Coturnix japonica: one gene and its partners. The protein of the gene in region 2 purifies or fractionates together with the protein of the main gene of each other region. This does not show direct contact. Links are inferred from orthologs where the notes say so. Each region holds a gene or a part of one and is shown on either strand. Other genes may lie near its edges.

Region 1 (3,568 bases), on a different chromosome or scaffold from region 2:
TTGTGTCATAGCATCGTCTTTCCTTAGTGTATTTCATGCATCATTTATTTTGCAGCGTTTCTTTTGATCGAGTCTCAGACATCAACTTTACCCTCAATACAAATGAAAGTGTAAGTATGCATTCTTGTGCCTGCAGAAAAATTGCTGCCTCTTAAACTTCTGAGTGACCTTTAAGTTTTGTTAGTGGCTTTTGTTTATTGTTTTATGACGTACGTATAACGTTAGGAAAGTAACTACACCTTATTCCTGCCTTGTGGGGTTTTTCTAGTTAGATTACTTTATTGCTGTTCTTTATGGTTAATATTAAGCAAGTGCTTCTAATTTGTGTGTCCAGGTTCAAGAAAAGGCTTGGATCTAGTTAGTGCAGACTGCGCACGCATTTTGAACACAGACGCTGTTTCAGCATTCTGCCAAGATAGTGGTGACGGAAAGTGAAGAACAGAGACTTCTAGCATATGTGCTGCATGTCAGTTGAGCTGAAATGATACAAACTACAAACAATAAAGCTGGAATATTTGCTGTTGCAGTTTTGTGGAAAGCTCTTTGTTGTCACTTACTCACCATTCTGAATTGCGATGGAGCCTCCCAGCAGTTGTTGGATGAGTGCTCTCAGTGTGTTAGCGGTTGAGTAAAGCAAATTCCACTGTATGCTTTCCTGGGAAGCATAAAGCTGTCAATGTCTTCTGGTTTTCCAGTGCTTACTGGGTGGTGCTTTTTCTTCCCCACAAGTTAAAGATTCTCTTCAAACCAATCATTTATTTCCAAAATACTTGAAGTAGAATAATCAATTATAAAGAGAATTTTATATTTTTCCCGTATTTAGGGCAACATAGCATTGTTTGAGGCATGCTGTAAGGAGCGGATACAGCAGTTTGATGATGGTGGTTCAGACGAAGAAGACATCTGGGAAGAAAAACATATTGCATTTACACCAGAGTCCCAGAGACGTTCCAGGTAAGACATTTGTGTTTAGCACTATAGCGAGCCCTTTCTCAGGTTGGCTGTTTGCACAGGCTGTCCATCTTCATTTCCATTCTTTAGAGAAGATGGTAGAGGGATAACTATTGTCTTTGTTTGAGCCTTAATTTGCTTAACGTTGCTATCCTGACTACTCAGTTCTTTCTGCATCAAAGCACGTTTCCTTTTTTTTTCCCTCTGCTTGGCCCAAGGCAGCCCTACCTGTGTAGGCAGACCTTGCTATCCTACAATGCTACTAGGTTTGGAGTATCCACTTCTGTTGCCATAGTTGCACCTAATCATATTGCAGCTGTGGATAAAACTATACAGGCAGCTGCACTGAGGGAAAGGAACATCTGTTCCCCAGAACTCAGGGCTATGCAGCCTCCGATGGCTTCTGAATTTTGTCCCAGGATAGCTTTGGATTTTCTGACCTTCCTGTGATTTGAGTCCCAAACCACATGTGCTTTTTCTGTTGTGGCCTTTGGAGTGCATGGGGCTAAGCCCTGTACACAAGCAGTTGTTTTGTATGTTGGCATTGTGCATGCCTAGGTGATGTGTTTCAAGGATGCGCTTAGATATGTCATTACCTAACTGTTAATGCTGGTTGTGCTGACTAGGAAGGGAGATTCACCTCTAGGTTTCAAAATATATATGTAGGAGGACAGACTGGAATACATTTGGGTTTGTTTTCAAAATAACTTGTTGTCTTACATTGATCTTGAAAAGAGTTACAATTTAGCAATAACTGCTGTGTTTCTATTAAGCCTCAAACTCTCTAGCATTCTTTTGTGCCCAGGATCTAATCCCATGTAAACTGTCTCTTTGTTTTTTAAGTTCGGGCAGTACGGACAGTGAGGAAAGTACTGACTCTGAAGAAGAGGATGGAACAAAACAAGATCTGTTTGAATCGCACGCCAGTACGGAGGACAAAATGGAAGTAGACTTAAACGAACGTACGTAGCTTTTCTGCCAACTGCTTGGAATTATAGGAAGGTGCTACATTTAGCACAGAGTTATTTTGTAAGAGTTTTCCTCCTATTGTTTTTTATTCCAAGTATCTTAACCTCTCTCACTGTAAAGACCGTGTGCTGCACAGTTATGCAGGTACTGGGGAATCAAAATTCTTTACATGTCCTGAGCAAGTTACTGCAGTCTCTCTAAAATTCACACCTTACTCTTCAAGAGGGAAAACTGAGTAGAAATCAGAATGGGAAAAATGAAAATCAATTTACGTATCTCGTATGCTTGCATACCTGATAGGTTGTTAATCTCGGAGCATAAAGTATGGCTGTTCTTAGTAGAAGTTTTTCAGACCAACACTTCATCTTAAAATGTTCTTTTAAAACGCATTCTACAGAAGGGAAATAGATTTAGATCGGTGTCGTTTCGTATGTGAATAATCCTGTTTACAGTGTGTATCAGCAGGGCTCTTCCTTGGAAAATTAACTGTTGTAATTGGCCTAAGAGTTCTCATAATCAAGTTGTAAACTAAACTTGCTTTACTTAAACTGGCAACGTCTGTAGGCAAAAGCCCTGTGTTTATCTAGACTGTAAGGAATTAGAAACTACAATAGAAGGAATAGTTAAGGGTTTTCTTTTCTTTTGTCAGATTGGTGTCGTTGGCATCTGTGTGTCAAACAAGTTTTGATCCATGTGGGTCTCCTCCCATATCTTCCTGGGTTGGAATTTCTAATTGCTAGTCAGAGCTTCCTTTTCAGCCTGTTTTTTTGTATGTAAGTGTTGATGAAGAAAATGTTTCCCTTGGGTAGGTGATGTATTTTGAATTGACCTATCCTAAATTAGATTTTCTTAAGTCCAGACTGCTCCAAAATTTAATATCCCAGTAAATATTTTAAAGTTATAAGGGGTTTTAAGCTTTTCTGAAACTTAGCAGTGCTGCTAATGCATGAGATAGTAGAGACCGCCTGTACCTGCATTGTCTTGTTCATTTTCTGTGCTGAGGAAAATGTGCATAGGAAACTGAAGAAGGGATGGAAAACCTGAAGGTGCTGTTTGTTTCGTTTTTTAAGTGTAGAAACTAGCGCTGAAAATCGACAACAACCATTAATGTTAGGTTAAGGAGTAAAGTGCAACTGCACTTGTAATCTAATGTAGTTTTTGTGTTCCTCAGATTTATGCTATTGATTTTTCTCTCAGTACTGAGAGTTACCAATTCTGCCTTACTAGCAGAATTTCTCATAGAGAATACATTCGTGCTTTAACTACGTAGAGAATCCATTTGCATGTGCTTTAAAATGCAGTTAAGAATTTTGCTGCTCTTTTTGGAATGTGCACATAGAGAATGGGTGAGTTAGGCATATGTACATTTGTATTCTTCAAATTGGTTCCTAATAAATTTGCTGGTTGGTTTTCTAGCACCAAATTGGTCAGCTAACTTTGATGTACCCATGGAGACTGCGCATGGTACCAATCTGGATTCTGTTGGGTCTGATGTGTGGAGTACAGAAGAACCTATGCCAGCCAAAGAAACTGGCTGGGCTTCTTTTTCAGAGTTCACATCCTCCTTGAGGTAAGAACAGTGATGATACAGGGCGAGTATTGTTGGGGTGTGCCTCTACCCAAGGCTGTGTTGGAGGTGTTTTGCTAG
Region 2 (3,568 bases):
ATGAGCAAGTTGCTGTTCTCTTTCTGCTGCAAACTTGAAGACAATTCTCATAAAACTGATATTTTGGTGTTTTACAGCTACAAACGGTCACTCTGAATGTTTGCGACTATTGATAGGAAATGCGGAACCACAGAATGCAGTGGATATTCAAGATGGAAATGGACAGTAAGTTTTAAAAATGTACATTCTAATATTCACAAATTGCTTCACTTTATAAAAGGGCAAAAATAAGATTTTACATAGGTGATTTTTAATTTGTTGCTATCAAAGGAGGTGATATTTGAACTAAGACAAACAAGTGTGTATTTTGCAATAAGCAGCTTTGGCAGTGAAAAATATCTTGTTCAGTTGGGAATATTTCAGCCAGGAATTCTGAATTAGTGGAAATAAATTAATTTTCTTGAATCTCCTGGTACTCTTGGAATTAAGGTGGTGCTACAGAAGCTCATTGATAGTCTAAATTTTCAGTGTTCTTTGGTAGTGCCTGGTGCCAGGATAAGAGGAAACAGCTACAAACTGAAACACAGGGAGTTCCATCTGAGTATCAGAAGGTTTTTCTTTACTGTGAGGGTGACAGAGCACAGAGGCTGCCCCAAAAAGGTTATATAGTCTCCTCTGTTAGCATCTTCAAAAGCCACCTGGACATGAGCTTGAGTAGCCTGATCTGGGTGTTCCTGCTGGAGCAGGGGTTGGACCTGGTAAACCCAAAGGTCTCTGCCAACCTCAGCCGTTCTGTGTGTGTTCCAGCTGAGCATTGGCCTGTTAGATTTCCGTGTAAATTACGCTTTAATTTCCCTCTCTGTGTAGGACTCCTTTGATGTTGTCCGTTCTCAATGGGCACACGGACTGTGTTTATTCACTTCTTAACAAAGGAGCAAACGTTGATGCCAAAGATAAGTGGGGAAGGACAGCATTACACAGAGGGGTAAGAGAATATTTCCTTTCTTTCTTCTCCAGTATTGTACATGCTGAGTTAAAATACGGGCTTAGTAATTCTGTTGGATTTCCTGAGTCTTGTAATGTTGCTGTAAAAGCTGTTGACTGCAGGAGACCCAAAATACGACTTTTTGTCATGGGGTGGGGGAGATTGTTAATAGATAGAATAAAATTGTTATATGTGCCAAATAAGTTTTGGTTTTCTGGTTTTTTTTCCGTTGTTCACTACATGAACATTTGCAAACTTGTTTCATTTCTTTCTCACAGGCAGTCACTGGGCATGAGGAATGTGTGGAAGCACTACTTCAACATGGTGCTAAGTCCTTATTAAGAGACTGTAGGGGGCGAACCCCTATACATTTGTCAGCTGCTTGTGGACATATAGGTGTTCTAGGAGCTCTGTTGCAGTCAGCTACATCTGTGGATGCAGTACCTACAATAGCAGACAATCATGGCTATACATCGCTGCACTGGGCCTGTTATAATGGTAAACACGGAAGCGTCCTGTGGGGGAATGTATCTCTCTGTAGGCATAGTGTCTCATAAAGGACTTCCAGTACTGCTAAAGCATTCTGAATCTGAATTAAGTATTCAGCAGTGAAGTTAAAATTGAGGATCAAATAGTGGAGATGCTGGCCGTTTTCACATTCTTGTATACTTTCTCCTGACAAGCACATATTCTTTTTAATGCAAAACCTCTCCTTCATCAAATGGCGTGACAGTTAAATACATACAATTGGTAATACTGATAGAAGTTTCTTATACTTTAAAACTACTTTAAAACTCGAGAATAAAGTGTTGCTTAATCTGATTTAGATAAATATTTTTTCTAAATCATAAGTAGGTCTTTTCCCTTCTTCTTCACTCCTATCTCTGCATTTGCTTCAGGTCACGACAGCTGTGTAGAACTCCTCCTGGAACAAGAAGTTTTCCAGAAAATGGAAGGGAACGCTTTCAGTCCATTGCATTGTGCTGTGTAAGGAAAAGCAAAATTATTCTTCATAGACTTTATCACAGTATTTAACAAAAGATTTTTCATTCTGTAAATAACAGCTTGTTTAATTCTTCGTAGGATAAATGACAATGAAGGTGCTGCAGAAATGTTAATTGATACATTAGGTGCTGGTATTGTAAATTCAACAGATTCAAAGGGAAGGTAAGTGTGCATCTGTATGGTGGAAGAATGTATGTAGTGCTTGCATTCACTCTGCTAAATTCTGTTGTTGTTTGTGTTTTTTTTCTATGACTACTTAGATTATTTCCTGTTTCCCCCTTTTTTGTTCTTTGAAGATTATTTTAAATCCCGAGTAAGAAAAAAATCGAGATTTTTAAAAAAATCTAGTTCTGATTCAGTAAACCTGAATTGGCTTTTTGTCATGTAGGCACAGTTAAAATTGCATCCCTTTGTGACTATTATTTTATGTATTATTTTATGTTTTTTTCTCTGAATCAAATTGTATCCATACTGTGAACTACACAGATCAGAGTTATGTATTTGAAACTTGAAGGTAATTTCCCGAAGGCACCTGTCTCTTAACATTCCTGATCCCAACTATCAATGGGAATGACTGCCCACTCTTTGTACCTACAGTCAGGTCTGTCTGTAGGAAGCACAACTGAGCATGACCGTGTGATCTGTTTCAGGACTCCTCTTCATGCAGCAGCTTTTACAGATCACGTTGAGTGTCTACAGCTTCTACTCAGTCACAATGCTCAAGTAAATGCTGTAGATGCTTCTGGGAAAACACCTTTAATGATGGCTGCAGAAAATGGACAGACAAATACTGTTGGTAAAGTATCTATTTCTGCTGTTCAGTGTGTTGATCTTACAACAGATGAAGCTACCTTATCAGTTGATCATTGTGGATATATTTTGTGAAAATAACATATTCATTTTGCACAAATGTGAACTGTTAAGACTTTACAGACTGTGCTTTCAGTTAATACAAACCTTTATTTCTTGCAGAGGTGCTGGTTAGCAGTGCTAAGGCTGATCTGACTTTGCAAGATAGTTGTAAGAACACAGCACTCCATTTGGCTTGCAGCAAGGTATATGCATAGTCTGACCTCTCTGGTACTTTGTGTTATCAATCATTGTTTGTAGATAAGTGTGCTCTTGCAACCCAGAAGGCCAACTGTTTTCTGGGCTGCATTAAAAAACACGTGGCCATCAGAGAGGGGGAAGTGGTTGTCCCACTCTCTCTACTCAGCTCTTGTGAGGCCCCATCTGGAGCACTGCATCCAGGCCTGGGGTCCCCAGTACAAGAAAGATGCTGAGCTCTTGGAGCAGGTCTAGGGGAGGGCCACTAAAATGATCAGGGGGCTGGAACACCTCTTGTATCAGAAAGTGTTGAAGGAACTGGGTTTGTTTAGCTTTGAAAAGAGAAGGCTCTGGGAAGACCTCATTGTGGCCTTTCAATACTTGAAGGGAGCATATAAACAAGAAGGGGAACAGCTGTTTACGAGAGTGGATGGGACAAGAGGGAATGGTTTTAAACTAAGGTTTAGGTTAAATAATTAGGAGAAATTACTTGAAATACTTGAAGAGAGCATATAAACAAGAAGGGGAACAGCTGTTTACAAGGGTGGATAGTGACAGGACAAGGGGAAATGGTTTTAAACTAAGACAGGT
Region 3 (3,568 bases), on a different chromosome or scaffold from region 2:
CGCTAAATTAACCATCACTTAAGACCACCGGGAGCCACGGTTGGAATCACACAGCCCTCGTGTTCATCCCGCCTTGATTTAATCACACACAGCAGATATAGCAGGGAGAAAAGTGGGGCCTTTGCCCTGTGTTTGTCATTTCAGGTGGCCTTTGAATGTCAAATTCATGTTTAAATGCTTGTAAAGTCCATTATTGTCATTCATTGTCACTCCAGCATTGGTCAGTACTGCACTTGGGGGTCTCAGCCCTCACACTGTTAGAGTTTGGAAGGCAGCTTCCCTTGCTTTAAAGGCTCAAAGAGGTGGTGAAAGGCTTCGGATCATTCAAGAAGGTGGAAGCTAAGACTTAATAACAAGAAAACCCAGAAATGGGTATTTTTATGATTAAAAGCAGCTGTTGAATGTGACTAATAACCCAAATGCGTCTGCCCGACAGGCAGGAATGTGTGGAGCAACTCCTGAAGAATATGTTTGATGGAGAGCAGACTGAGAACTGCATCGTGAATGGGACGCAGGTTCTGCTGACATTGCTGGAGACGAGGCGCTCTGGGTAAGTCAACACGCTTCGATCCTGAATAGAAGGGTTTTAGCTATTCAAATCTGGTTTGTAATGAAGGATATAGCAAAGGTGAAGGTCTGGGGAGGGAGATGCTGAGAATCTCGCTTTCTTCTTTTAAAGGAGGAAATAGGAAGAGTGAAGGAGGCGATGGGAGGTTGGGGAGGGTTAGAGGGAGGAACTGACAGGAGATGGTGTTGGGTCGTTGTTAGGCAGCTGTGCATGGTTCATAGAATGGCCTGGGTTGCAAAGGCCCACAATGATCATCCCATTCCAACCCCCTGCTATGTGCAGGGTCACCCACCAGGCTGCCCAGAGCCACGTCCAGCCTGGCTTTAAATGCCTGCAGGGCTGGGGCATCCACAACCTCCTTGGGCAACCAGTGCATCACCACCCTGGGTTATGGCTGAAAAGCTGAGATGCTGCATCTCCTGTGCCTTGTGCCCTGCATCTCCGAGGGCTAATGACTTCCAGATATAGAGGTGCCCGTGTAGGTTGTTGGTGCTTTGCTTCAGTGCAAGCATTTCTCTTATTCCAATGTGAGACTGTGCTGTTAGAAGGGTCTGCTGATAATGCACTGCTAACCAGCAGAGGTGTGAGCCCAACTGCCCCCTTAGTATTATAGTGCACTCATTAGTGGCTTTAACAAACATTCAGTGGCACAATTTACTCCTTAAACATCTGTAAAGCTGGTAAGCACTGTAGTAATTCATCTTTGTCAGCCCCGCAGACAGCTTCTCCTCTGCCTTCCCACTCATTCACAATTATGATGATGTGAATATCATCTTGCAATTAACATAATGAGATGATGATGTAGTTACCTTCCGTGGCTGTCAGTGATCGTTCTTCACGTTCAGAGTTCTCTTTCAAGAGGAAATAGCCGATATGGGCAGTGTGAGTGGAGACCTATATGAGGTTTGGCCAAGCCCTGATTTGCGTGTTTTCTTTGTTGCAGGGTGGAAGGACTGATGGACTCATACACTCAGGGATTTGAAAGGTCTTACACTGTCAATAGCAGCATCTTACACGGCATTGAACCCAGGCTAAAAGATTTCCACCAGCTGCTGCTCAGCCCTCCCAAGGTAACGTGGCTCAGCCTTCCCCAGGAGCAAACAGCTGCTGGATGGATGGGGGGGGATTCCTCATCCTTATTTATGGGTTTTGTGAGGACTTTCTGAAAGCACCAAGTGTTGGCAAGGCAAACTCTACCTTAAATCTTTACAAGAAGGATTCACGCTTCAGGTTTGTAATACGAGTGCTTAGGAAGTTCAGGCAAAGTGTGAGGTTTTGGCAATTTGGATGGAGGAATCCCAGGTATATATAGAGACTGGGAGGAGCAGAGCTTGAGAGCAGCCCTGCAGAGAAGGAGCTGGGGGTGCTGGTGGCTGGAGAACTGAGCAGCAGCCAGCAGGGTGCTATTACAGCTTGGAGAGCAAATGGCATCATGGGCTCCATCAGCAGAGGGTAGGGCCAGCAGGGACAGGGAGGGATTGTCCCTCTCTGCTCTGCCCCATCTGCAGCTCTGCATCCAGGTGTGGACCCCTAATGTCCCCAAGATGGACAGGGAGCTGTTGGGAAGGGTCCATTGGAAGCCACAAAGATGCTCAGAGGGCTGCAGCACCTCCCCTACAAAGACAGGCTAGGGAGCTGGGGTGTGTTTCAGCATGGAGAAGAGAAGGCTGCGGGGTGACCTCATTGCAGCCTGCCAGGACCTGAAGGGAGCCTACAGACAGGAGGGGAGTCAGCTCTTTGAATGGGGGGATAACAGCAGGACAAGGGGAAATGGTTTGGAGTGGAAGGAGGGAAGATTGAGGTTGGATGTGGGGGGATATTGTTGATAGAGAGTGTTGGGTGCTGGACCAGCTGCCAGAGAGGATGTGGATGCCCCGTCCATCCCTGGAGGTGTTTAGTGCCAGGTTGGATGGGGCCCTGGGCAGCCTGGGCTGCTGTTCATTGTGGAGGTTGGTGGCCCTGCATGTAGCGGGGGGTTGGAGCTTCATGATCCTTGTGGTCCCTTCCAACCCAACCATGCTGTGGGTGAGGGGGGCACAGAGGAGGGAACACAGAGTCAATGGGTGTTTTGATCTTATGTTTGGGAAGTTCAGACCTCACAGCGCTCTCAGGTCACTGCTGAGTGGGAAGACACCATAGTTTTGCCTGCATGGAGTATTTATGTCTGAAGATGAGATGGTTCTATTTAATCAACCAGTTGTATGTCTGCAATGGGGGATTCATTGACCTTCACTGAGGTTCTCCACCATTTCTCCTATAGAAAACAGCGATCCTGACCACAATTGGAGTCCTGGAGGAGCCGCTGGGCAACGCTCGTCTTCACGGCTCTCGCCTGATCGCTGCTCTGCTCCACACAAACACTCCCAGTATTAATCAGGAACTATGCAGACTCAGTACCATGGATTTATTACTTGTGAGTAACACTATGTGGCACTGCAGGGGGTGGGGGTGGGGAATGGCTTCAGGCTGAGAGTGTCTTCGCTTTCCCTGTTGGGCACAGTGTGGTTTGTGTGCAGGTCACGTTATGTCCATATCCTACTAAAGGATACCAAGCAATTAATAGGGCAATGTTCTGACATCATTTGATTGCCAGAAGTGGGATGATGGATCCAGAATGACTTTCTTCTTGTTTCTCTTTTTGTTCCAGGATTTATTTTTTAAATACACGTGGAATAACTTTTTGCATTTCCAAGTGGAATTGTCCATAGCAGCTATTCTCTCACACTCTGTGCAAGAGGGAAGAACTACTGCCAATGACCCAGAAAGCAGAGAAGAGGTGCTGAATGGAAACGTGACCACAGAGAACCAAGAAACTCCAGAGAACAACACGGAGAATATCATGGTTACACATGTGAGTCAGGTCACATCGGCAGGGAATTCAGAATCATAGAATGGCCCAGGTTGGAAGGGACCTCAAGGATAACAAAGCTCCAACAGCCCATCACATGCAGGGCCACCAACATCCACATTGAACAGCAGCCCAGGCTGCCCAGGGCCCCA

Evidence for each region. The genes of interacting proteins can lie anywhere in the genome.
Region 1: the proteins of ANKRD28 (region 2) and PPP6R3 purify together in Homo sapiens (co-immunoprecipitation; 3 studies listed by BioGRID and IntAct, with this or other methods). This does not show direct contact. The link is inferred for Coturnix japonica from reciprocal best matches to the Homo sapiens genes ANKRD28 and PPP6R3.
Region 3: the proteins of ANKRD28 (region 2) and PPP6R2 purify together in Homo sapiens (co-immunoprecipitation; 4 studies listed by BioGRID and IntAct, counting the BioPlex papers as one, with this or other methods). This does not show direct contact. The link is inferred for Coturnix japonica from reciprocal best matches to the Homo sapiens genes ANKRD28 and PPP6R2.

The regions. Positions count from the first base shown.
Region 1 is NC_029520.1:8,199,154-8,202,721, reverse strand, and holds part of PPP6R3 (serine/threonine-protein phosphatase 6 regulatory subunit 3), read left to right. Parts: intron 1-55; coding exon 56-110; intron 111-823; coding exon 824-954; intron 955-1,794; coding exon 1,795-1,913; intron 1,914-3,336; coding exon 3,337-3,490; intron 3,491-3,568.
Region 2 is NC_029517.1:31,164,997-31,168,564, reverse strand, and holds part of ANKRD28 (serine/threonine-protein phosphatase 6 regulatory ankyrin repeat subunit A), read left to right. Parts: intron 1-77; coding exon 78-165; intron 166-807; coding exon 808-925; intron 926-1,203; coding exon 1,204-1,423; intron 1,424-1,824; coding exon 1,825-1,912; intron 1,913-2,008; coding exon 2,009-2,092; intron 2,093-2,580; coding exon 2,581-2,726; intron 2,727-2,902; coding exon 2,903-2,985; intron 2,986-3,568. UniProt on the Homo sapiens protein: Regulatory subunit of protein phosphatase 6 (PP6) that may be involved in the recognition of phosphoprotein substrates. Involved in the PP6-mediated dephosphorylation of NFKBIE opposing its degradation in response to TNF-alpha.
Region 3 is NC_029516.1:601,892-605,459, forward strand, and holds part of PPP6R2 (serine/threonine-protein phosphatase 6 regulatory subunit 2), read left to right. Parts: intron 1-436; coding exon 437-550; intron 551-1,511; coding exon 1,512-1,638; intron 1,639-2,828; coding exon 2,829-2,981; intron 2,982-3,215; coding exon 3,216-3,419; intron 3,420-3,568. UniProt on the Homo sapiens protein: Regulatory subunit of protein phosphatase 6 (PP6). May function as a scaffolding PP6 subunit. Involved in the PP6-mediated dephosphorylation of NFKBIE opposing its degradation in response to TNF-alpha.